3 linked regions of the Elephas maximus indicus genome follow. The protein of the gene in region 1 interacts with the protein of each later gene in a pairwise test. Links are inferred from orthologs where the notes say so. Each region holds a gene or a part of one and is shown in the gene's direction. Other genes may lie near its edges. The genes, in order: NXF1, GFAP and SRSF1.

What was found.
Region 2: the proteins of NXF1 (region 1) and GFAP interact in a two-hybrid assay, tested with the Homo sapiens proteins (3 studies listed by BioGRID and IntAct). The two-hybrid records come from large-scale screens. The link is inferred for Elephas maximus indicus from reciprocal best matches to the Homo sapiens genes NXF1 and GFAP.
Region 3: the proteins of NXF1 (region 1) and SRSF1 interact in binary tests that used the Homo sapiens proteins (3 or more experiments, as listed by UniProt). The link is inferred for Elephas maximus indicus from reciprocal best matches to the Homo sapiens genes NXF1 and SRSF1.

What each region holds. Positions count from the first base shown.
Region 1 is NC_064825.1:125,954,541-125,961,475, reverse strand, and holds the start of NXF1 (nuclear RNA export factor 1), read left to right. Parts: upstream 1-3,935; 5' UTR 3,936-4,087; coding exon 4,088-4,115; intron 4,116-6,402; coding exon 6,403-6,583; intron 6,584-6,793; coding exon 6,794-6,935. Other genes in the region: STX5 (syntaxin-5), read left to right, coding at 1,345-1,504.
Region 2 is NC_064837.1:51,332,575-51,339,890, reverse strand, and holds the start of GFAP (glial fibrillary acidic protein), read left to right. Parts: upstream 1-4,262; 5' UTR 4,263-4,516; coding exon 4,517-5,112; intron 5,113-5,988; coding exon 5,989-6,049; intron 6,050-6,245; coding exon 6,246-6,341; intron 6,342-7,116; coding exon 7,117-7,278; intron 7,279-7,316.
Region 3 is NC_064837.1:36,041,631-36,048,659, forward strand, and holds the start of SRSF1 (serine/arginine-rich splicing factor 1), read left to right. Parts: upstream 1-3,962; 5' UTR 3,963-4,099; coding exon 4,100-4,293; intron 4,294-4,676; coding exon 4,677-4,861; intron 4,862-5,186; coding exon 5,187-5,359; intron 5,360-5,561; coding exon 5,562-5,756; 3' UTR 5,757-7,029. UniProt on the Homo sapiens protein: Plays a role in preventing exon skipping, ensuring the accuracy of splicing and regulating alternative splicing.

The sequences.
Region 1 (6,935 bases):
GCCTGACACTTTAGTTAGCCTCTCCAACATTATTTGGAAATCACATACGATCCAGGCTCCTCCTGTGTTTGAGACACTGAGGTTAGCTCACAGTCTTCATGACCACCTTCTCAGGACTGGGAACTGGCAGCCACTGGGCCACCCTCTCCTCTCACTTCCCAGCAGGAGTGCCAGGCTCCACCACATTCTTTGTACTTGTAGCCCACAAGTGTGTCCGCTCACAGGGACTACTTTTGCAAAGATAAGGATTTCTATTTGGTTTTTAGGATTGCATATGCAGATTGACTGGGAAATCCTTTATTTTCCTCGGGACTTTCTCAAGAGATTGCCCTTCCTCTAAGAACTTCTCTATATGTAAGAACACCTAATTCTCTAAACCGAAGGATGTCTATGTCTATTGGAAAATTTTCATCCTTTCAAGTTTCAGTTTCTTTTGCATATGCTTGTCTACATTTTCTGTTTCCTTATCCCCCTTTTCTGCTTCAGCCTGCTATAAAATTGTTCCTAAGCCCTTCAACTGAAACTGCTGGCACTGACGTAATTAACACCTTACAGTTCTTACCTCGTACTTCCATTCTCAGAGACATGTTCTCCCAGTAGGCCTTTTCTCATCCCCTGACTTCCTGTCCACATTAAATTTCTCTTCTTCTCTCACTCAGAACCAGGATTTCCTGACTCTGATGGTCTGTGAACTTTTTTCCCTATTATAAATGAGCATATATTTATTAGACAGAAATGAGTAAGTACTGATGAGCCAAAAATTACAGCTAACATTTTGAGGGATCTTACCCATGGGTTGTTGATTGTGATTCATAGCAACCCCACACGACAGAGCAGGACTGTCCCATAGGGTTTTCTGAGCTATGATCTTTACCAGAGGAGATTGCTAGTTTTTTCTCCTGTGGAGCTGCTGGGTGGGTTCTGACCACCAACCTTTTCATTAGTAGCTGAGCACTTAACCGTTGCATCACTGGGGCACCTTTACTATGGATTAGGCACTTTATATTTGTTGATTTATTTTAGACTGACAACAGCCTGAGAGGTAGGGTGTGGGATACCCTCATTTTGCAGATGAGGAAAATGAGACATGAGGTTAAGTGACTGGCTTAGGGTCATAAGCTAATAAGTACAGAGCCGGTTTTCAAACCAGAGCTAAGACTTGGTTATGTAGCCCTCCCGAGCCTTTTTTATGCCCCGTAATAGATACAAAAAAAGGTATCATATTGTATATAAACCCTTTTTGTCCCCACATATTGTGACCATCTTTCCATGTCAATAAATACACCTCAACAGCATTCTTTTTAATCCAGTGTCCTGTTTCCTTTCCTCCCGGCCTGTCCCCAGGATCGACGAGAACGTGCTAGGAGCCCAGCTGGATGTTGAGGCCGCCCACTCAGAGATCCTCAAGTACTTCCAGTCAGTCACCTCCAATCGGTGGCTCATGGTCAAAATCTTCCTCATCCTCATTGTCTTCTTCATCATCTTTGTGGTCTTCCTTGCCTGAGCCCTCTCTACTCTTAAGGCACTCCATGGGGGTTTGGAGCCCTCCCGGGAAGGCAGGTGGCCAGTGCTGCCACTGAGCCTGTGCAGGGTGCTTGGGAGAAAGGCCCTGTTTCCCTGGAACTGCTAAGAATGGCCACTGCCCCTTGACAACGTCCCCCCCCCCCCCCATCTTGCCTCTGGCTACCCTGTCCATCCTCACCATCCTCAACCCACAAAACACACACGGTTCTGGATTTGGACTCTGCTGTGAAGTGACTGGAAGGGAGCAAAGGCCAGCTGGGGGCCAGTGGGAGAGGCTGTCTCTACTATGAGTTTTTCTAAATCCTCCCCAGCCTCTCCTAAAGGAAACTTTGGCAGCAAGGGGAAATGATGCCCTTCCCCCCACCTTCCTGAGAGTGAGGAGAGGAAGAGAAACTGTCCCAGGGACCAACTTTCCCATCTGGGTTAGAACTTGACCTCTTTCTTCTTCCTTTCTTCACCATGTGAGGCTGGGGGTCCTGAGCCCCTCGGCTGCCTGCACAAACCCCAACATGGCTGCTCGTGACTCTCAATCTGCCAAATGCACTGCAGCCCATTTTCTCCCAATTACAGCAAGACTGTCAGCCTCAATAGCCATGTTGTCATTTCTGGGTGGGAGCGTCGAAGGGCCTAGGCAGCAAGTGGGTGAGACCACTGCCCAGTACCAAAACTGAAAGGGTTGCGCTGATGGCTCCAAGGGGCCCCAAGGCCGACTGTGGCAGCCTCTGAGCTCTGTACACACAGCCGCCTCCAGGGAGCAGAGAACCAAATGCAACAGCACCTCATTAGCATGAAACTTCTTTCAAAAGGAGGAGCTGGATCCCAGAGTGGGTGATTGGTGGCCAACTCTGAGACCATCTCGAACAGTGTGTGGACTGATTCCATCTGCATCCTCCAACCAGTTGACCTCAGTTCTTCTCTGAGCTGGTTGAGGCAGGAGCTCTGCCTGCTGTCAGTACCAAATAATGAAGTGCTATATGCCCTGCTCCAGCTGAGGCTCTGTGTTTTCTCCAAGCCCTCGCCAAATTGAAGCCAGTCAAAGAACAGAGGAGAAAACTGCCAGTATACCCATCCTCCAGGGAGGTTGATAGGCTGCTTTGACCTTCCTGACCAGAACCCACAACCACACCATTCTGAGATCACTGGAGTCCGTCTTTCAGACATCCCAAAGGAAACTCGAGCTATAGAGACTCCAGTCATCCTACTCAGGATCTGTCCTAGTACCTTGGGGCCTAGGGGAGCCCCTGGCTTTTTTCACCCTGGCATTTTAATAATTCCTTGCCCCTTGGCCTCTTTTCAAGGGGCCCTGGCGGCACAGTGGTTAAGCACTCAGCTGCTAACTGAAAGATCGGCAGTTCGAACCCACCAGCTGTTGCACAGGAGAAAGATGTGGCGGTCTGCCTCTGTGAAGATGACAGCCTTGGAAACCCAATGGGGCAGTTCTGTCCTGTAGGGTTAGTATGAGTCAGAATCGAGTCACAGCGGTGAGTTTGGTTTTGGCTGTGGCCTCTCTTAAGCAAGTGGTCTTGCTTGCACCTTCGTTGTCTGCCCAGTTGACATATGACGTGGGCCTAGCACAGTGCATAGTGGTTGGGGACATTTGTGAAGTGTTTGCTAAAGCCCGGCATACACGCAGCCTCATTTGACTTGGTAACTCTTCCAGGAGAGGGATGCTTAGAAGGGAAATTTACTTCACAAATATTTGAGTTCCTGCTGTGTGCCAGGCATGGTACTGGGCCAGGAGTTGGAGGGAAAAAAAGCATGAATTAAGTCATGGTCCCTGCTGTCATTCATTCATGTGTTCTCATTAGATTCCGGTGTTCAATTTCGTGGTTATTAACACATTTTATGGGTGAGAAAAACCAGGCTCAAGGTCCCTGCTGGTAAGGGGATGGGCTAAAACTTGGTCAAATGGCTGGATCCTGCTAGGTGTCCGTGAGAGAGAAATCCCACTCCGGGGTCCGGTCTCCAGTTCCTCGGAAGCCCTTGGCGCGACCCTTCTTCCCCATTTCTCTCCGAGTCCTGGGCTGGAGCAGCCTCGAGGCCGTTGGGCTGTTCGCTGCTCCCGCGCTAACTCGAGCAGGACGGATTAACTCAATAAACAGGGTACTCGCGGGCTTCGCTGTGCTTCATTACCAATCTAGGGCGCAATTTCACCTGCGTTCGACATGAACCCCAGATGAAACTGTGCACTACAGATTAGTACGCAAAGTTAACCCCGTGCATACCGTGCTTACCGGTTAACCCGCCACTGCCCCGGAGGTGCCGGAGGAGCGCCGGCCGACGTTCGAAGAAGGTGGCGGGTGAATGGGCCTGGGATTCCGGGCTCCGAAAGCGCAGCCCTCGGAGCCGGCCCCGCCCCCAGCCGCGTCCTGCCGTTTGCGCACGCGCAGTGCGCTGCGCTAGTCCCGGCGGCCCCGCCCACCAACTGGGGACGTCGGCGGCGCGCGACGTGCTCCTCCGGGCAAATGCGGCGGTGCCGGGCGTAGAGGTGTTTCGGCCTGGGTGCCTGGGCGTTCGGACGTTTGGTGGCCCGCGCCTGAGCGTCCCTGCTTGTCGCAGCGCCATGGCCGACGAGGGGAAGTCGTACAGCGGTGAGTGCTGGTCCTCGGGCGGCGGAGCGGGGCGATCCGGGGCCGGGGTGGGCGGCGCCGGCCTAGGCCTCAGCGCCGGGGCGTGAGGCCGCGAGGGGCCCGGCGTCCGTGGGGAAGGGCGCGGGGCGGGCGGGCCGGGGGCGAGGCGGCCTCGGGAGGCCCCAGCCGCACTCGAGGTGGGCGCCGGGGTTGTTGACTCGGGAATCCTGGCGTGAGGACCTGCGGCTCGAAGCGGGTGGCTCAGGGTGGGGTGACAGGATTCCTTTGAACTGTGGGTGGTTGATGCCTGTCAGTTCAGTTTGGCGGCCCGACTCTTCCTTTAATGTGACTCAGTGTATCTGGGCTGCCGTGGTGCCCAGTTTTCTACCGCGTGTAGTCGGTATCGTACCTCTTCCTGCCGTTTGAGCTTAATGTCGTAGACCACCTATACACCACCTCGATATTCTGATCTCCTGGGTTTAGTCCAGCGTAGTGTTCATGAATCAAAAACGACGTATTGCATCGGGCAGATCTGTGCCAAAGACCATCTTAAAGTGTTAAAAAGCAAAGATGTCGCTGTGAAGACTAAGGTGCGCCTGACCCAAGCCGTGGTATTTTCAAACGTCTTATGTGTATGCGAAAGCTGGGCAAAGAATAAGGAAGATGAAAGAAGAAGCGAGGCCTTTGAATTATGGTGTTCGCAAAGAATATCGAATATACCACGGACTGCCAGAAGAACGAACAAGTCTGTTTTGGAAGAAGTACAGCCAGAACGCTCGTTAGAAGCAAGAATGGCGAGAGTTCATCTCATGTACTTCAGTCACATTATCAGGAGGGATCAGTCCCTGGAGAAGGAGATCATGCTTGGTAGAGGATCAGTCAGAAAGAGGAGACCCTCAACAAGGTGGATTGACACAGTGGCTCAAACGTAGCCATGATTGTGAGGATGGCGCAGGATCAGGCAGTGTTTTGTTCTGTGGTACCTAGGGTTGCTGCGTCGGAACTGACTTGAGGGCACCTAACAACCAACAGTGGTTAGGAGTGCATGACAGCCGAGGTTTGAATCCTGATTTGGCTGCACCAAGCTTGAGTGAGTTAATTAAACTCAGGCCTTGTCTTCCGTTATCTGTAATAAGGTAATAATAGTATCTAACTCCTAAGGTGTGTGTGTGTGTGCGCTTAAATGAGATGGTTCAAGTCAAGTTCCTGGAGCATAGTGTTTAGACTGGAGAAAACGTGCAGTGAATGTGAGCTGCTGTTGTTATTCTTTTTTTTTTTCTTCCTTCCCTGGGTCAGTTTGTTGGGGTTCACTGGTCGGAGGATACTAGGCATTAGGCAGATCTTCTTGGTTGGAGGATACCAGGCGTTAGGTAGACCTTCTTGGGGAGTCATGGACCGTTTCTTAAAAGCTATTCCTACACATCTGGATTCAGAGAATCATGTCCCTGGAGCTCATTCCAGGCTCCTTTGTTGAGCATCTGTCCTAGGCTGGAGCCGCCACTCGAGCCTGAGTCTAGGAGCTGTCCCCACAGCTAAAGGCATTTCAGGCAAAGGAAATGGAGGACTCATTCACAAAACTTCAGAGTGGCAGTTTGAGAGCAGGGAGATTTTTTAAGGTGGCCCTAAAATTGGTCATATTTGGGGTTGACATTTGGTAAAAAGTACGATTTACCAAAAGCTGATGTCATCATTGTGATTGGTTAGGTTAGGAGGTGTGAGAGAAATCAGGTTACACTGAGTAGACCTGGGAGGCTGAGAGAAAGCAGGAACTTTAAGTGACTTTGGGGGTCTGATTTGTGTCCACTTATACTTTTGGATTACCCACATTTCCACAGCCTGCTTCTCCTTTCTGTAGTACGAAATTCTGCTGTCATTTTCGAAAGCCCTACACAGTTTTCCCTGGTGGTGCAGTGGTTAAAACACTCAGCAGCTAACCAGAAGTTTTGCAGTTCGAACCCATCAGCTGCTCCACGGGAGAAAGATGTGGCAGTCTGCTGCTGTAAAGATTTACAGCCTTGGAATCTCTATTGGACACTTCTGTTCTGTCCTTATAGGGTCGCTAGGACTTGGAATAGACTCTGCAGCAACGAGTTTGGTTTTTAAACACAGTTTGCCAAGAATTTTTCCTTGAAGATGCCATCTCTCAGAGAGGGCTCTTTAGACAGGCAGAGGGGTTTGTGTGGAGGTGGCCTCTGTTATATGTATCTCGTCTAGTAGTACAGGGTGACAAATACTGTGATTGCCACACCAGGGTATCTGGACTACTGATGTGTTTCTAACTAATTTGTGTTCCTGTTTCCGATTCCAGAGCACGATGACCGTGTTAGTTTACCTCGAAGAAGAAAAGGCCGGGGTCCTTTCCGTTGGAATTATGGCGAGGGGAACCGTCGCTCTGGAAGAGGCGGTTCTGGTACTCGGTCTTCTCGCCTTGGGGAAGATGATGGCGATGTGGCGATGGTTGATGCCCAGGATGGTCCCCGAGTACGATAGTAAGTGACCAGTTGGTCTGGCTGAAATTTAGTGACCCATCAGATTCTGCAGCTCTCTTACTGTCCATACCCCTTCTCTTTCCCATTTTGAAGGATGAGAAATGCCAGAATCGGCTTAATGGTTGAACACCCTCAGCTCTAGCCATGATAACAGTGTGGAGGCCTTTGAGAAGAATTTTCTAGCACTTACGGACATTTTTTTCCTCACAGCAACCCTTATGCTGCCCGACCCAACCGTCGCGGTGATAATTGGCACGATCGAGGCCGTATCCACGTCACTGTGCGGAGAGACAGAGCTCCTCCAGAAAGGGGGGCGGCTGGCACCAGCCAGGATGGGACCTCGAAGAACTGG
Region 2 (7,316 bases), on another chromosome or scaffold:
TCCTTTGCAGCAGATTTACCCAATACAATGGGTCTTTTGATTTCTTGACTGCTGCTTTCATGGCTGTTGATTGTGGATCCAAGTAAAATGAAATCCTTAACAACTTCAATCTTTTCTCTGTTTATCACGATGTTGCTCCTTGGTCCAGTTGTGAGGATTTTTGTTTTCTTTATGTTGAGGTGCAACCCATACTGAAGGCTGTGGTCTTTGATCTTCATTAGTAAGTGCTTCAAGTCCTCTTCACTTTCAGGAAGCAAGGTTGTGTCATCTGCATAACGCAGGTTGTTAATAAGTCTTCCTCCAATCCTGATGCCCCGTTCTTCTTCATATAGTCCAGCTTCTCGGATTATTTGCTCAGCATACAGATTGAATAGGTATGGTGAAAGAATACCACCCTGGTGCACAACTTTCCTGACGTTAAGACAATCAGTGTCCCCTTGTTCTGCCTGAACAACTGCCTCTTGATCTATGTAAAGGTTCCTCATGAGCACAATTAAGTCTTCTGGAATTCCCATTCTTTGCAATGCTGTCCATAATTTGTTATGATCCACACAGTCGAATGCCTTTGCATAGTCAATAAAACACAGAGAAACATCCTTCTGGTATTCTCTGCTTTCAGCCAGGATCCATCTGACATCAGCAACGATATCCCTGGTTCCACATCCTCTTCTGAAACCAGCCTGAATTTCTGGCAGTTCCTGGTCGATATACTGCTACAGCCATTTTTGAATGATCTTCAGCAAAATTTTGCTTGCATGTGATATTAATGATATTGTTCTATAATTTCCACATTCGGTTGGATCACCTTTTTTGAGAATAGGCATAAATATGGATCTCTTCCAGTCAGTTGGGCAGGAAGCTGTCTTCCATATTTCTTGGCATAGACGAGTGAGCACCTCCAGTGCTGCATCTGTTTGCTGAAACATCTCAATTGATAGTCCATCAATTCCTGGAGCTTTGTTTTTCGCCAATGCTTTCAGAGCAGCTTGGACTTCTTCCTTCAGTATTATCGGTACCTGATCATATGCTACCTCTCGAAATGGTTGAACATGGACTAATTCTTTTTGGCATAATGACTCTGCGTATTCCTTCCATCTTCTTTTGAGGCTTCCTGAGTCATTTAATATTTTCCCCATAGAATCCTTCACTATTGCAACTCGAGGCTTGAATTTTTCCTTCAGTTCTTTCAGCTTGAGAAACACTGAGCGTGTTCTTCCCTTTTGGTTTTCCACTTCCAGCTCTTTGAACATGTCATTATAATACTTTGTCTTCTCGAGAGGCCCTTTGAAATCTTCTGTTCAGTGCTTTTACTTCATCAATTCTTCCTTTTGCTTTAGCTGCTCGACATTCAAGAGGAAGTTTCAGAGTCTCCTCTGACATCCATCTTGGTCTTTTCTTTCTTTCCTGTCTTTTCAATGACCTCTTGCTTTCTTCATGTACGATGTCCTTGATGTCATTCCACAACTCGTCCGGTCTTTGGTCACCAATGTTCAATGCATCAAATCTATTCTTCAGATGGTCTCTAAATTCAGGAGGGATATACTCAAGGTCATATTTTGGCTCTCATGGACTTGCTCTGATTTTCTTCAGTTTCAGCTTGAATTTGCATAAGAGCAATTGATGGTCTGTTCCACAGTCGGCCCCTGGCCTCGTTCTGACTGATGATATTGAGCTTTTCCATCGTCTCTTTCTACAGATGTAGTCAATTTGATTTCTGTGTGTTCCATCTGGCGAGGTCCATGTGTATAGTTGCCGTTTATGTTGGTGAAAGAAGGTATTTGCAATGAAGAAGTCGTTGGTCTTGCAAAATTCTATCACTCAATCTCCAGCATTGCTTCTATCACCAAGGCCATATTTTCCAACTACTGATCCTTCTTCGTTTCCAACTTTCACATTAAAATCACCAGTAATTATCAATGTATCTTGATTGCATGTTCGATCAATTTCAGACTGCAGCAGCTGATAAAAATCTTCTATGTCTTCGTCTTTGGCCCTAGTGATTGGTGCGTATATTTGAATAATAGTTGTATTAACTGGTCTTCCTTGTAGGCGTATGGATATTATCCTATCACTGACAGCATTGTACTTCAGGATACACCTCGAAATGTTCTTTTTGACGATGAATACACCACCATTCCTCTTCAAGTTGTCATTCCCAGCATAGTAGACTATATGATTGTCCAATTCAAAATGGCCAATACCAGTCCATTTCAGTTCACTAATGCCTAGGATATCGATGTTTATGTGTTCCATTTCATTTTTGACGATTTCTAATTTTCCAAGATTCATACTTCGTACATTCCAGGTTCCGATAATTAATGGATGTTTGCAGCTGTTTCTTCTCCTTTTGAGTCATGCCACATCAGCAAATGAAGGTCCTGAAAGCTTTACTCCATCCATGTCACTAAGGTCGACTCCACTCTGAGGAGGCAGCTCTTCCCCAGTCATCTTTTGAGTGCTTTCCAACCTGAGGGGCTCATCTTCCAGCACTATATCAGACAATGTTCCGCTGCTATTCATAAGGTTTTCACTGGCTAATGCTTTTCAGAAGTAGACTGCTGGATCCTTCTTCCTAGTCTGTCTTAGTCTGGAAGCTCAGCTGAAACGTGTCCTCCATGGGTGACCCTGCTGGTATCTGAATACCAGTGGCATAGCTTCCAGCATCACAGGAACACACAAGCCCCCATGGTATGACAAACTGACAGACACCGTGTCTCATATATACAGGCACAATTCACCCGACTTCACTGACAAGTCCTTCCTGCTTTTGTTACATCTTTTCTCTCCAGGATTGTCTTGTACTCCTTTCAAATAGATTTACTTGAACAAAAAGGGGAGACCGCACACTGTGACTTGCCCAGCAACATGGAAGGGCAAGCCACCCTCCTCGCCACAGAAAATTGGGACAAGGATGAATAGCACAAGGATTCATCCGCAGTCTTGCTCTTCCTTTAAAGCCTCCATCTGTTCCCAGCTCCCCAGCCCAGCAGGATCAAAGGTCAGTGGGTGCCCCCTCCTAACGATGACCCTCCCCATGCTACTGGTCAAGACTCAGAGTTACATGTGGCTAGAGACTCAGGAACTCTCACCTCTGCCCCTCAGAGCTGGGACTCTCAGGGGAAGCCCTCATGTCTGGCCCTAGCAGGCAGCAAATACCCGGTGTGTGGTGGGGGGTATTACCCGGACAGAGGCTCAAGGGCCTGAGCTGGCTGAGAGCTGAGGAGGAGCGGGCAGCCTCCTCTGGCAAGCTGGAGACCTGGCAGTGCCGAGCTGGCCACCCCCAGGGCCTTTCCCTCATGCCCACTGGATGACTCACCTTGGCACAGACACAATGGTACGGGGTGGGCACAGAGCCTGCTTCCCGCTGCACCCAGCCCCCTCAGATGCTTTCCGAGAAACTCATTGAGCAGAGGGCTCAGGCTGCGCCCTGGCCTGACAGCCTGCCATCTTGGGAAAAAAGCAGCACAGCCCCCTGGGGGGCTGCCCTTGAAGTGTGGCACCCTCACCAGCAGTGGAGAACAAGGCTCCTTTCAGCAAGTGCCTGGGGAAAGGAATGGGAGGCCCAGGCATGGACAGTGGGCTATGGCGATGGGGGGGGGGGCATGGAGGGCTATCCGCTTCCCAGAGGTCCAAGGACACATATTGGCAAGGGGCTGGGCAGGGGGAAGAGGTGGACCTGGCTCCCGGCCTATACACAGTGGCTCCCGATTTCCCAAACTTACCCATCCCTGGAGGCTTTTCCCATCTTCCCAGCCTGATGTGTGGGAACTCAAAGGTGATACATCTCCAGCAGGAGAATGAGGGGGTGGCCAGGGAAACAGGGTGTCACAACAACAAAGATGTGAGCAGGGACAGCCAGGTCATTGGTAACTCCTTTGTGGAGCTGTCAAGGCTCAGGAAGGGAGTACAATGAGGCCAGGCGGGGTCTCAAGAGTGGCCCAGGGAGAGGGTCGGGAGTACAGTGTTGGGCCCTCTTCCATACCGGGATCCCCAAAGCCTCTTCTGTCAACCCCCAACTGCTAGATAGAGACTCAGCTGACCGTCCAAACAAAGGGCTGGAGTCCAGTCCAGCTCCCAGCCCCAGAACTCCTGGGAAGGGTGAGGAAGTGGGAATGGCAGATGTCTGTGTCCAGAGGGGAGGATGTCCAGGAAGCTGTCAGGAAGGGGGCTGGGTAGGAAACTGTAACATAAGCTGTTCCTTGAGAGTCTGGAACAGGTTTGTTATTCGCCAAATTCCCATCATCAAGCAGGCACTCGATGGGTGAGGGGATGCCTGGGTGATGGAATTTGAGAGTTAGAAGGTAGGTTAGATGTCCCCTGATTCAGCCCCTTCTTGACCCACCTTCCTAGAAAGGGGGTCTCCTTGTCCAGTGGCTAGGGCCCTAGACCCAGAACCTGGTCCCAGGCACTACCCATCAGTGCCCCTCCCTGACTGTGGCCCAGGCCAGGGCTGGCATGCCCAGGAAGCCCTGCCTCTGGGCACAGTGACCTCGGTGGGGTGAGAGGAGCTCTCCCCATGGCTGGGCTGCGGCCCAACCCCACCCCCTCAGGCCATGCCAAGCGGTGTTGCCAGGGCAGCCTGGGCAGTGCCAGGCCAGCCCACTCCTCCATAAAGCTCTCAGATGCCAGAAGCAGGCAGAGCCCGGCCCTGATGGAGCGGAGACGCATCACCTCGGCGGCCCGCCGCTCCTATGTCTCCTCCTCAGAGACCATGGTGGGGAGCCTGGGTCCCGGCCGCCGCCTGGGGCCTGGCACCCGCCTCTCTCTGGCCCGAATGCCCCCTCCACTCCCGACCCGGGTGGACTTCTCCCTGGCTGGGGCACTCAATGCCGGCTTCAAGGAGACACGGGCCAGCGAGCGGGCTGAGATGATGGAGCTCAATGACCGCTTTGCCAGCTACATTGAGAAAGTGCGCTTCCTGGAGCAGCAGAACAAGGCACTGGCTGCCGAGCTGAACCAGCTACGGGCCAAGGAGCCCACCAAGCTGGCCGATGTCTACCAGGCAGAACTGCGTGAGCTGCGGCTGCGGCTCGACCAGCTCACCGCCAACAGTGCCCGGCTCGAGGCGGAGAGGGACAACCTGGCGCAGGACCTGGGCACCCTGAGGCAGAAGTGAGGACGGGTACCGAAGAGAGGGGTTCTTGAGCAGGGGGACTGAGCTCCTGAGAGGGGTGCCACGGGCCTGCAAGGATCTTGGGTGCAGGGCTCTGCCTCCTTGCTCCCTGGGTTTCTCCACCTCTGGGACAAGAAGGCGATCCTTGTTCCACCATACAGTGGGAGGGACCAGGGAGAGGCCTAACACCTCAGAAGATCAGTCCAGGTACTCTTAGCACCTCCCAACCAGGGGAACGCATGGCAGAGACCTGAGTGGGTGGGGTCTTTCAGTTTCATCCACTGCTGGGCCTCCTGACTGCAGGCAGGGCGTTCGCCTTTTCTGAGCCTGGGTCTATATAGAGGAGGTGTGAAAAGGGGAGAAGGTGGGTGTCTACAAGGAGAATGGGGAGGGGAAGGAGGCAGGGGAAACTGCAGGCAGGCCTGGCTTCAGAACACACTCTGCCTATCATCACCTTGTGACCTTAAGCAAGCCACCTCAACCTGTGCAGCCTTGAAGTGGGGGTCATAATAAACCCTATTTCAATAGTTATTTGCCCAGGGTCTGAGAAGCCGCAGGGACACGATGTTTGCTGAGCTGGCAGGGCATGCAGGATGGCCTGCAAGTGCAGGAGGAGTGTGTGTTTGTGCACACAGCAGCAGCAGGTGCTGTGGATGTGCCTGCCTGAGCGGGAGCAGGTCCACCAACTCTGATAAGGCCCCTTGGTAATGAGTTAAAGCAAAGTCCCTGGACTGCTCACCCTGCTTGTCAAGTCCTCTGTCTAGGACCCCTCTGACCCTGGCTCTCCTGCCACTCTACCAGTCCTGGGAGCCTGGGGAGAGACCCGAGAGTCCTCAGAAGAGCTTGGACCCAGGAATGTGTCTTTCCCACCCCAGACTCCAGGACGAAACCAACCTGAGGCTGGATGCGGAGAATAATCTGGCTGCCTATCGACAGGTCAGGGAGGTGGAGGGGTGGGGCAGGGAGGAGGGATAGGCTTGCAGGCAGCCCACTCCAACAGAGCCCCCCCAGCCCAGCCCTCCAGAGCAATGTGCTGCTCCCCCCTGGTCCCCGAAGAAGGGATAAACAAGGCTGGGAAATGTGGAGGAAGAGTCTGGGGTCCAAGTGGCCCTTTGTCTCCTCCCCATTCCAGGAGGCAGATGAAGCCACCCTGGCCCGCTTAGATCTGGAGAGGAAGATTGAGTCACTGGAGGAGGAGATTCGGTTCCTGAGGAAGATCCATGAGGAGGTGAGGCCAGGGCAGAGGGAGGAGGGCCCAAAACAGAGACTGAAATGGACAGAGATGGAGAAAGACGCTCTGAGCCGTCATTTTGGTATTGACTGATAGAGAAACAGAATGAGAGAGAAACAGAGTGAGAGACAGAGAGACAGATACAGAGAGAGACTAAGAGAGAGAGACAGACAAGAGTATCCAACCCCTAGTAAAACGCACACACTCAACGCCCCAACTCCATTTACTGAGTGTTACGATGGGTCCTATTGCCTCATTTTTTTTTTTTTTCCTTCACAACAGCCCAATGAAGTAGAATCCATTCCAGTATCATCCCCTCTTCACAGATTAGGACACTGAGGTGCAGAGGGGTTAAGACACTTGGTAAGGTCACCTAGCTAGTTTGACTCCAACCCCCCTCTGCCATCTGTCTCCCTTAAAATGACAGCCACTTATAAGAACCCCTGAGCTCTGGCCTCAGATCATAGATTCAGAATCCATGTTGCCATGGAATCAGGAACACAGGCACCCCCATTCACAGAAATATAGTCACTGTCCCCCAAGAATGCAGGCACACTCTCAGAGCCAGCTCCGGCCTGTCCAGCTCTGGGAAGAGGACACCATGAAGCCCCAAACCATCCCGTGTCTCCCTTAGCCTGGGCCGTGCCACTTTCTCCAACTAGGGCTGCCCCAATTCCCTTAGCTGTGTCCATGTCCAAGAGGGCATGATGCTGCAGGAAACCCTGGCTGTCGCCTGAGTCCTAAGCCCTGGGACTTTTCTCACGCTGGCCAGGAGGTACGGGAGCTCCAGGAGCAGCTGGCCCAGCAGCAGGTCCACGTGGAGGTGGACACGGCCAAGCCAGACCTCACAGCGGCCTTGAGAGAGATCCGCACGCAGTACGAGGCAGTGGCATCCAGCAACATGCATGAGGCAGAGGAGTGGTACCGGTCCAAGGTAGCCTAACTGTGGGCAAGCCTGTCTCCTCCAGGCAG
Region 3 (7,029 bases), on another chromosome or scaffold:
CATCCGGGTCATGAAAAATAAATATGCCTTACCCCCCAACAAATGAATAAATACCAAAAAACCAAACACGTTGCCATCGAGTTGATTCCAACTCATAGCAACCCTACAGGGCAAAGTAGAACTTTCCCACAGGGTTTGGGTTTCCAAGGCTATAATCTTTACAAAAGCAGACTGCCACAACTTTCTCCCTCGGAGCAGCTAGTGGGATCAAACTGCCAACTTTTCAGTTAGCAGCCTAGTGCTTAACCACTGGGCCACCAGAGTTCCTAAATGAATAAATAGTTTGGTTTATTTGCATTATTGTATGTTGACGCTTGTAGACTGAAATATCTTAATCAACTCCAGGACATGATAACATTAAGATCACCTCCTTAATTGCAGCAATCATCAAGTTAATGTTATCCTAAGAGACCTCTTCCTACCATGCCCTAAGCCCATCACCTACAATTTGGTTAAATTAAAATATAAAAAAGAGGCTAATAGATAAACAACAATACTCTATTCACATCTATTAAGCTTTATCTTGTATTCCTCTGAACCAAACAAAATCAGAAATAATTTCATTAAATTGGACAAACGAGAATAAACCAAAACAAATGCACGGTTTTCTAATTTTTTCGGCATGAAAATGTCTTGAAATTAAAAGCACCCGTACCTATTTACTCTGTATGCTGAGCAAATAATCTGAGAAGCTGAACTATATGAAGAAGAATGGGACATCAGGATCGGAGGAGGACTCATTAACAACCTGCGTTGTGCAGACGATACAACCTTGCTTGCTGAAAGTGAAGAGGACTTGAAGCACTTACTGATGAAGATCAAAGACCACAGCTTTCAGTATGGATTACACCTCAACATAAAACAAAAATCACAACTGGATCAATAAACCACATCATGATAAACGGAGAAAAGACTGAAGTTGTCAAGGCTTTCATTTTACTTGCATCCACAATCAACACCCATGGAAGCAGTAGTCATGAAATCAAAAGATGCGTTGCAGTGGGTAAATCTGCTGCAAAGGACCTCTTTAAAGTGCTGAAATCAAAATTGTCACCTTGAAAATTAAGGTGCGCCTGACCCAAGCCATGGTATTTTCAATCACATCATATGCATGTGAAAGCTGGACAATGAATGAGGAAGACTGACAATTGACACCTTTGAATTATGCTGTTGGCAAAGAATATTGAATATACCATGGACTGCCAAAAGAAGGAACAAATCTGTCTTGGAAGAAGTACAACCAGAACGTTCCTTAGAAGCAAGGATGGTGAGACCGCGTCTTACATACTTTGGACATGTTGTCAGGAAGGATTAATCCCCGGAGGACATCACGCTTGGTCAAGTAGAGAGTCAGCGAAAAAGAGGAGGGCCCTCAACAAGATGGATTGACAGTGGCTGCAACAATGGGCTCAAGCATAACAAGGGTTGTAAGGATGGCGCAGGACCGGGCAGTGTTTCATTCTGTGATACAAACGGTCGCTATGAGTCAGATCCAACTCGATGGGATGGTACCTAACAACAACAACATGAGGGTTCATTCCCTGGAGGATATCATGCTTGGTAAAGTACAGGGTCAATGAAAAAGAGGAAGACCCTCAATGAGATGGACTGACACGGTGGCTACAACAATGGGCTCAAACATAACAACAACTGTGAGGATGGCACAGGACCATGCAGTGTTTTGTTCTGTTGTACACAGGGTTGCTATGAGTTGGAAATGACTCAACAGCACCTAACAACAACATGTTTAAATCACTTCAATTACCACTGATTTAGCACGAATCAAGACAGGCCTGAGTAATTGTACACCAATAGATAAAAATTGGAACAGAAAGAAAAGTGTGCTTAGCAAATAACTGTTAAAAGAACTAATGAGTACATGATAATGCCAAAGAATTTTTTAAAACCCTCTTCTGCTATTAACTGAATGGAAGAGTGCTAGAAACTGAATACATCTGTTGAAATGCTATCTTTTTTAATCAGCCTCTTCTATTAAAAAAAAAAATCAGATTCTTTTTTATTAAAACCTCAGTTTCAAAAAATATTGTTGAAGGACAGCCTGAAGGATAGACAATCTATCCTTTCCTCTAAAATTTTCAGAGGTTCCTTCCCTTTTTTATATCTACAGACCCCTTTAAGAATGTGATTAAAATTTCAAATCCTCTTACTTTTTTTTTTTTTTCCCCCTGAAAAAAGTACATGCACAGCACAAAGAGTCCAAGGACTACTACAGGTCCTCCATGCATCTGCTGAGGATCTACAGACCCAAAGTAAGCATTCCTGCTCACAATATTTCAAACTAAATTTATATTTTCAGATCACTAAGAGCTACGGCTGCTAACCAAAAGGACAGCAGTTCAAGTTCACCAGGCGCTCCCTGGAAACTCTATGAGGTAGTTCTATTCTGTCCTATAGGGTCGCTATGAGTCAGAATGGACTGGATGGCAACAGGTTTGGTTTTTGGTTTAGATAGACATTTGAACTAAGAAAACATGCCCTTCTCCTGTACAATTAATCTATTTTTATATCAAGGCACTTTGGGTTTTGAAAATACTTGTCTACCCTTCTTTACTGCGGCCTCTAGGAAGACCAGAGTGAAATCTGCAGTCTATCTGCAGGCTCTTACTGCAGACATTTTGTGTACTAACCTTATCCGGGACTTCAACTTAATCCCCTAACCCCTTATTTTCCCATTCCCCTGATTTCTTCATCCAGTTTTAATGTTTTATGGTATCCCTGTAAGCTGCCTTGCATCCTTGGGGAGAAGGGCTGTTGTAAATAAATACATAATATGAAGAAAATCATCCTTAAACTTAAGAGTGCAGATCTCTTTTAGCATATTTATCACTGCAGGGCTTTTTATATTTGAACTTATTTCCAACATTTTAAATAAGCCCAACATCTCACATAAAAATTCAGATTTCAGGCGTCTCTAGAAAAATGTAAAAAATTATCTCCCTGAACCAACACTCGAGGAGGATCACAGTCCCAACAACTGTGGTCTCCAATGGGAATGAGTTTAAAATCTTGCATATAATTAATAGGGGAAACTTTTGAAAACAAGATTAACTTCAGGATTTTACAAATACTACTTCTTTCTAGTTCTTTGAAAGGAGGAAAAATGACAAGCACAATCCATTTTTGAAGTATTCATGAGCCTCGCCTCTCCTCTCCGCTAGGCCTAGCAATAGGCCATCAATGAGAGGCGGTGCGGTCGGTGGTTGACACCCTTCCTGGTTGGCAAGTGCCGCCCCTGACTGATCAGGGTACGACCTACACATACCGCCGGTAACAGTTGGCGTGCTGAATCGAGCTATTCAAAGTTAAGTTCTGAGCCGAAGATGGAACGGTACTTAATGCAGAATACTTACTAAGGAACCTGAAATGCACTCCCCTAAATCAGACAGGTGTCTAAACAGCCCATGGCTTATTTGCAAGCAGCGGGGTGGGAAGGCAAGGCTACGCCCTGGCGCTCTATTAACTCCCCAGCGTCGCAATTCCTGGACTAGGCGCACTCTTGCCCGTTTCCGGAGCAACTGGCCGATCCCTCCCCCTTTGACTCCGCCCCCGGGAGTCTTTCCCGCCAAAGGCCGTTAACTTCGCGGAGCATTATGGGACAAGGCTCTAGGCTAGGTTTCACCAAATTCTAGCAAGGCGCCGAAATGCTCCAAAAGAGGCTCATTCCTGGAGACCCTGACTATCCTCGACGACCTGACAGGCATCAATAGCCCCTTTAACGAGTGCTCTGTATTTAATTTTTATCACACAACTTATCACCCCGTTGGCAAACTGCTCCGCAGCTGGGGAGCGCGGGGAACTTTTTTCTCTTCGTGCGGAAGGTCACGTCGCGGGTGCGTATGCGTCCTTTCAAATGCGTCCGTTACGCACTTGCGCGTGCGTATTGAGATCGAATAGCTGCTTCCATCCGCTTCTCTTCCTCCCTCCCCCCCATATCCGTGCGCCGAGCAGATAAAGGCGCCATTTTGGAGGGGCCGCGGGAGACGTGGTGTCGCTGCGGGCTCGCTCTGTCGTGCGCTAAGCTTGGTGGGAAGGCCTGTTCTCGAGTCCGCGCTTTTCGTCGCCGCTTTTCGTCGCCGCCATGTCGGGAGGTGGTGTGATTCGTGGCCCAGCAGGGAACAACGATTGCCGCATCTACGTGGGTAACTTACCTCCAGACATCCGAACCAAGGACATTGAGGACGTGTTCTACAAATACGGCGCTATCCGCGACATCGACCTCAAGAATCGTCGCGGGGGACCGCCCTTCGCCTTCGTTGAGTTCGAGGACCCGCGGTGAGGCGGCATGGGGCTTGCAGTCTTTACGAAATAGGTTGGAATAGTTAGGGGAGGCTCTTTTGAGAGGAGAAAGGCGCTATTGCCCATGCAGGAGTTGAGTAAGGGGTCGAGTCGGCGTAGTTTCTCCGGTGGCTGGGCCCCGTGGATATCTGCGGAGCCGACTCGCAGGCTTGGAGCGGGAAACTGAGGCGCCGGGGGCTGTTGTAGTTGTCGGGAGCCTGGCGTGCTTCTGGGTGGGGGAGGGGCCGTTCCTATTATGTAGCGCATGTGGGCTCTTTGGCCTTCGGTGCGCATGTGCGGGGGGCCGCTACGTCCCGACTGAGTTAGGCTTCCCCTTCCTATTCCTTCTCTCATGCCTTTTGCCTCCTGTGATCACGCAGAGACGCGGAAGATGCGGTGTACGGTCGCGATGGCTATGATTACGACGGTTACCGTCTGCGGGTGGAGTTTCCTCGAAGCGGCCGTGGCACTGGCCGCGGCGGCGGCGGGGGTGGAGGCGGTGGAGCTCCCCGAGGCCGCTATGGCCCACCGTCCAGGCGGTCTGAGAACAGAGTGGTTGTCTCTGGTAAGCTTACTGCTTTTGTGGGTTCATGAAAAAAGGGGCAAGAGCTGCTTTAAAGTTTTCCATGCATGACTGGTTTGACAACTGAAAATTTCATATCAGATCCTTTATTAGTTTTTTGGGTGAGTTTAGTAAGCGTGTATAACTACTAGAAATTCAGCAAAATAGATTGCAGCACTAGAGTAGGAAGATGCGTATTCTTTGCAAATCAGTTCGGATTCTGGATTCTAGAGTCTTTCAAGTACGTTCACTAAGTATTTGTTCTGGTGTACGCTATAAATTTAACGTGAAATTTGGGATAGTATTGAAAAAATAAATCACTTTTCAGGACTGCCTCCAAGTGGAAGCTGGCAAGATTTGAAGGATCACATGCGTGAAGCAGGTGATGTATGTTATGCTGATGTTTACCGAGATGGCACTGGTGTCGTGGAGTTTGTACGGAAAGAAGATATGACCTATGCTGTTCGAAAACTGGATAACACTAAGTTTAGATCCCATGAGGTAGGTTATACACTTAATTCTTTTCTTTGGCCAGAATTGGATACAGTGGTCTTAAACAGTGGAATTTGAAGGTAAGGATTCAGGCAAGGGTGTCCAAGTAAAGTACCAGATTTCTGGTATTAGTTACATTGTATTCATTCAGCATGCCTGAAGACAGGTGAAAACTTAGATGTTTCAATCGAAAGTTCTGTCTATCCAATAGGGAGAAACTGCCTACATCCGGGTTAAAGTTGATGGGCCCAGAAGTCCAAGTTACGGAAGATCTCGATCTCGAAGCCGTAGTCGTAGCAGGAGCCGTAGCAGAAGCAACAGCAGGAGTCGCAGTTATTCCCCAAGGAGAAGCAGAGGATCACCACGCTATTCTCCCCGTCATAGCAGATCTCGCTCTCGTACATAAGATGATTGGTGACACTTTTTGTAGAACCTATGTTGTATACAGTTTTCCTTTACTCAGTACAATCTTTTCATTTTTTAATTCAAAATGTTTTGTTCAGAATGGGCTGAAAAGTGTTGAATTGCATTCTTGTGTAATATCCCCTTGCTCCTAACATCTACATTCCCCTCATGTCTTTGGTAAATTGTATTTTAAGTGATGTCATAGACAGGATTGTTTAAATTTAGTTAACTTTCCATGCTCTTCAGACTGTGATATTGTGTAAATGTCTATTCTGCTCTGGTTTGTGTGAACTGGGATGTTGGGGGTGTTTGTGGTTACCTTACCTGGGGAAGTTCTTATGTTTATCTTGCCTTTTCATGTGTCTTTCTGTAGACATATCTGAAGAGATGGATTAAGAATGCTTTGGATTAAGGATTGTGGAGCACATTTCAATCATTTTAGGATTGTCAAAAGGAGGATTGAGGAGGATCAGATCAATAATGGAGGCAATGGTATGACTCCAAGTGCTATTGTCACAGATGAAATTGGCAGTATTGACCTTATACTAAAAGACAAGGATTAAAAATGATTATATACATCAACCTTAAAACAGTTGCAAACATTTTATGCAGTTACCTTTAGCTACAATTGCTTTGCTCTTTATATTTGGCAATTGTGGCAAAATTACATTGCCCATTTTGTAACAAATTTATTTTGCTCCTTTCCCCCTTTTTTTGTTTTAATAGGGACTAATGTGGGAAGAACTGGCTAATTTGTCATAGTGCTTAGTTACAACTGTTAATGTGTGACCTGCTGTTGGTGTACATGTGGGTACAGGGTGTCTTTAATTCCAACCAGATAGAGTATAATATCAATACTGCTAAATTTGCATGTCCTCTGTGTGACTGATATAGCGTTGCTATTTCATTTTTTTTTTTTTTTTAAGACAAAATGAAAGCAAAATATAGAATTCCAGCATATTGGTGTAGATAATCTAGATGGGAATACTTTGTCTCACCTTTCCCTTTAAACTAATATTCATAATTGATTCGTGTTAAAACACTTTAATTTACAAATTGCAGACGAGAGCATTATTTAGTTTAGACTTAGGTGGGTTTAGCAATACCAGTAAACTTTTCAACTACATAACTCTTTTTGCAACCACAAAACCTGTAATACGCTGTACAGTAACAAGTGTTGGCATTATCAGTTGAACTGTAAATATAAATAGCTTCTTCCAATTAGTCTCTATAATGATTAAGTTTCTAAAGTTTATCTGAACACCATTCAGAAA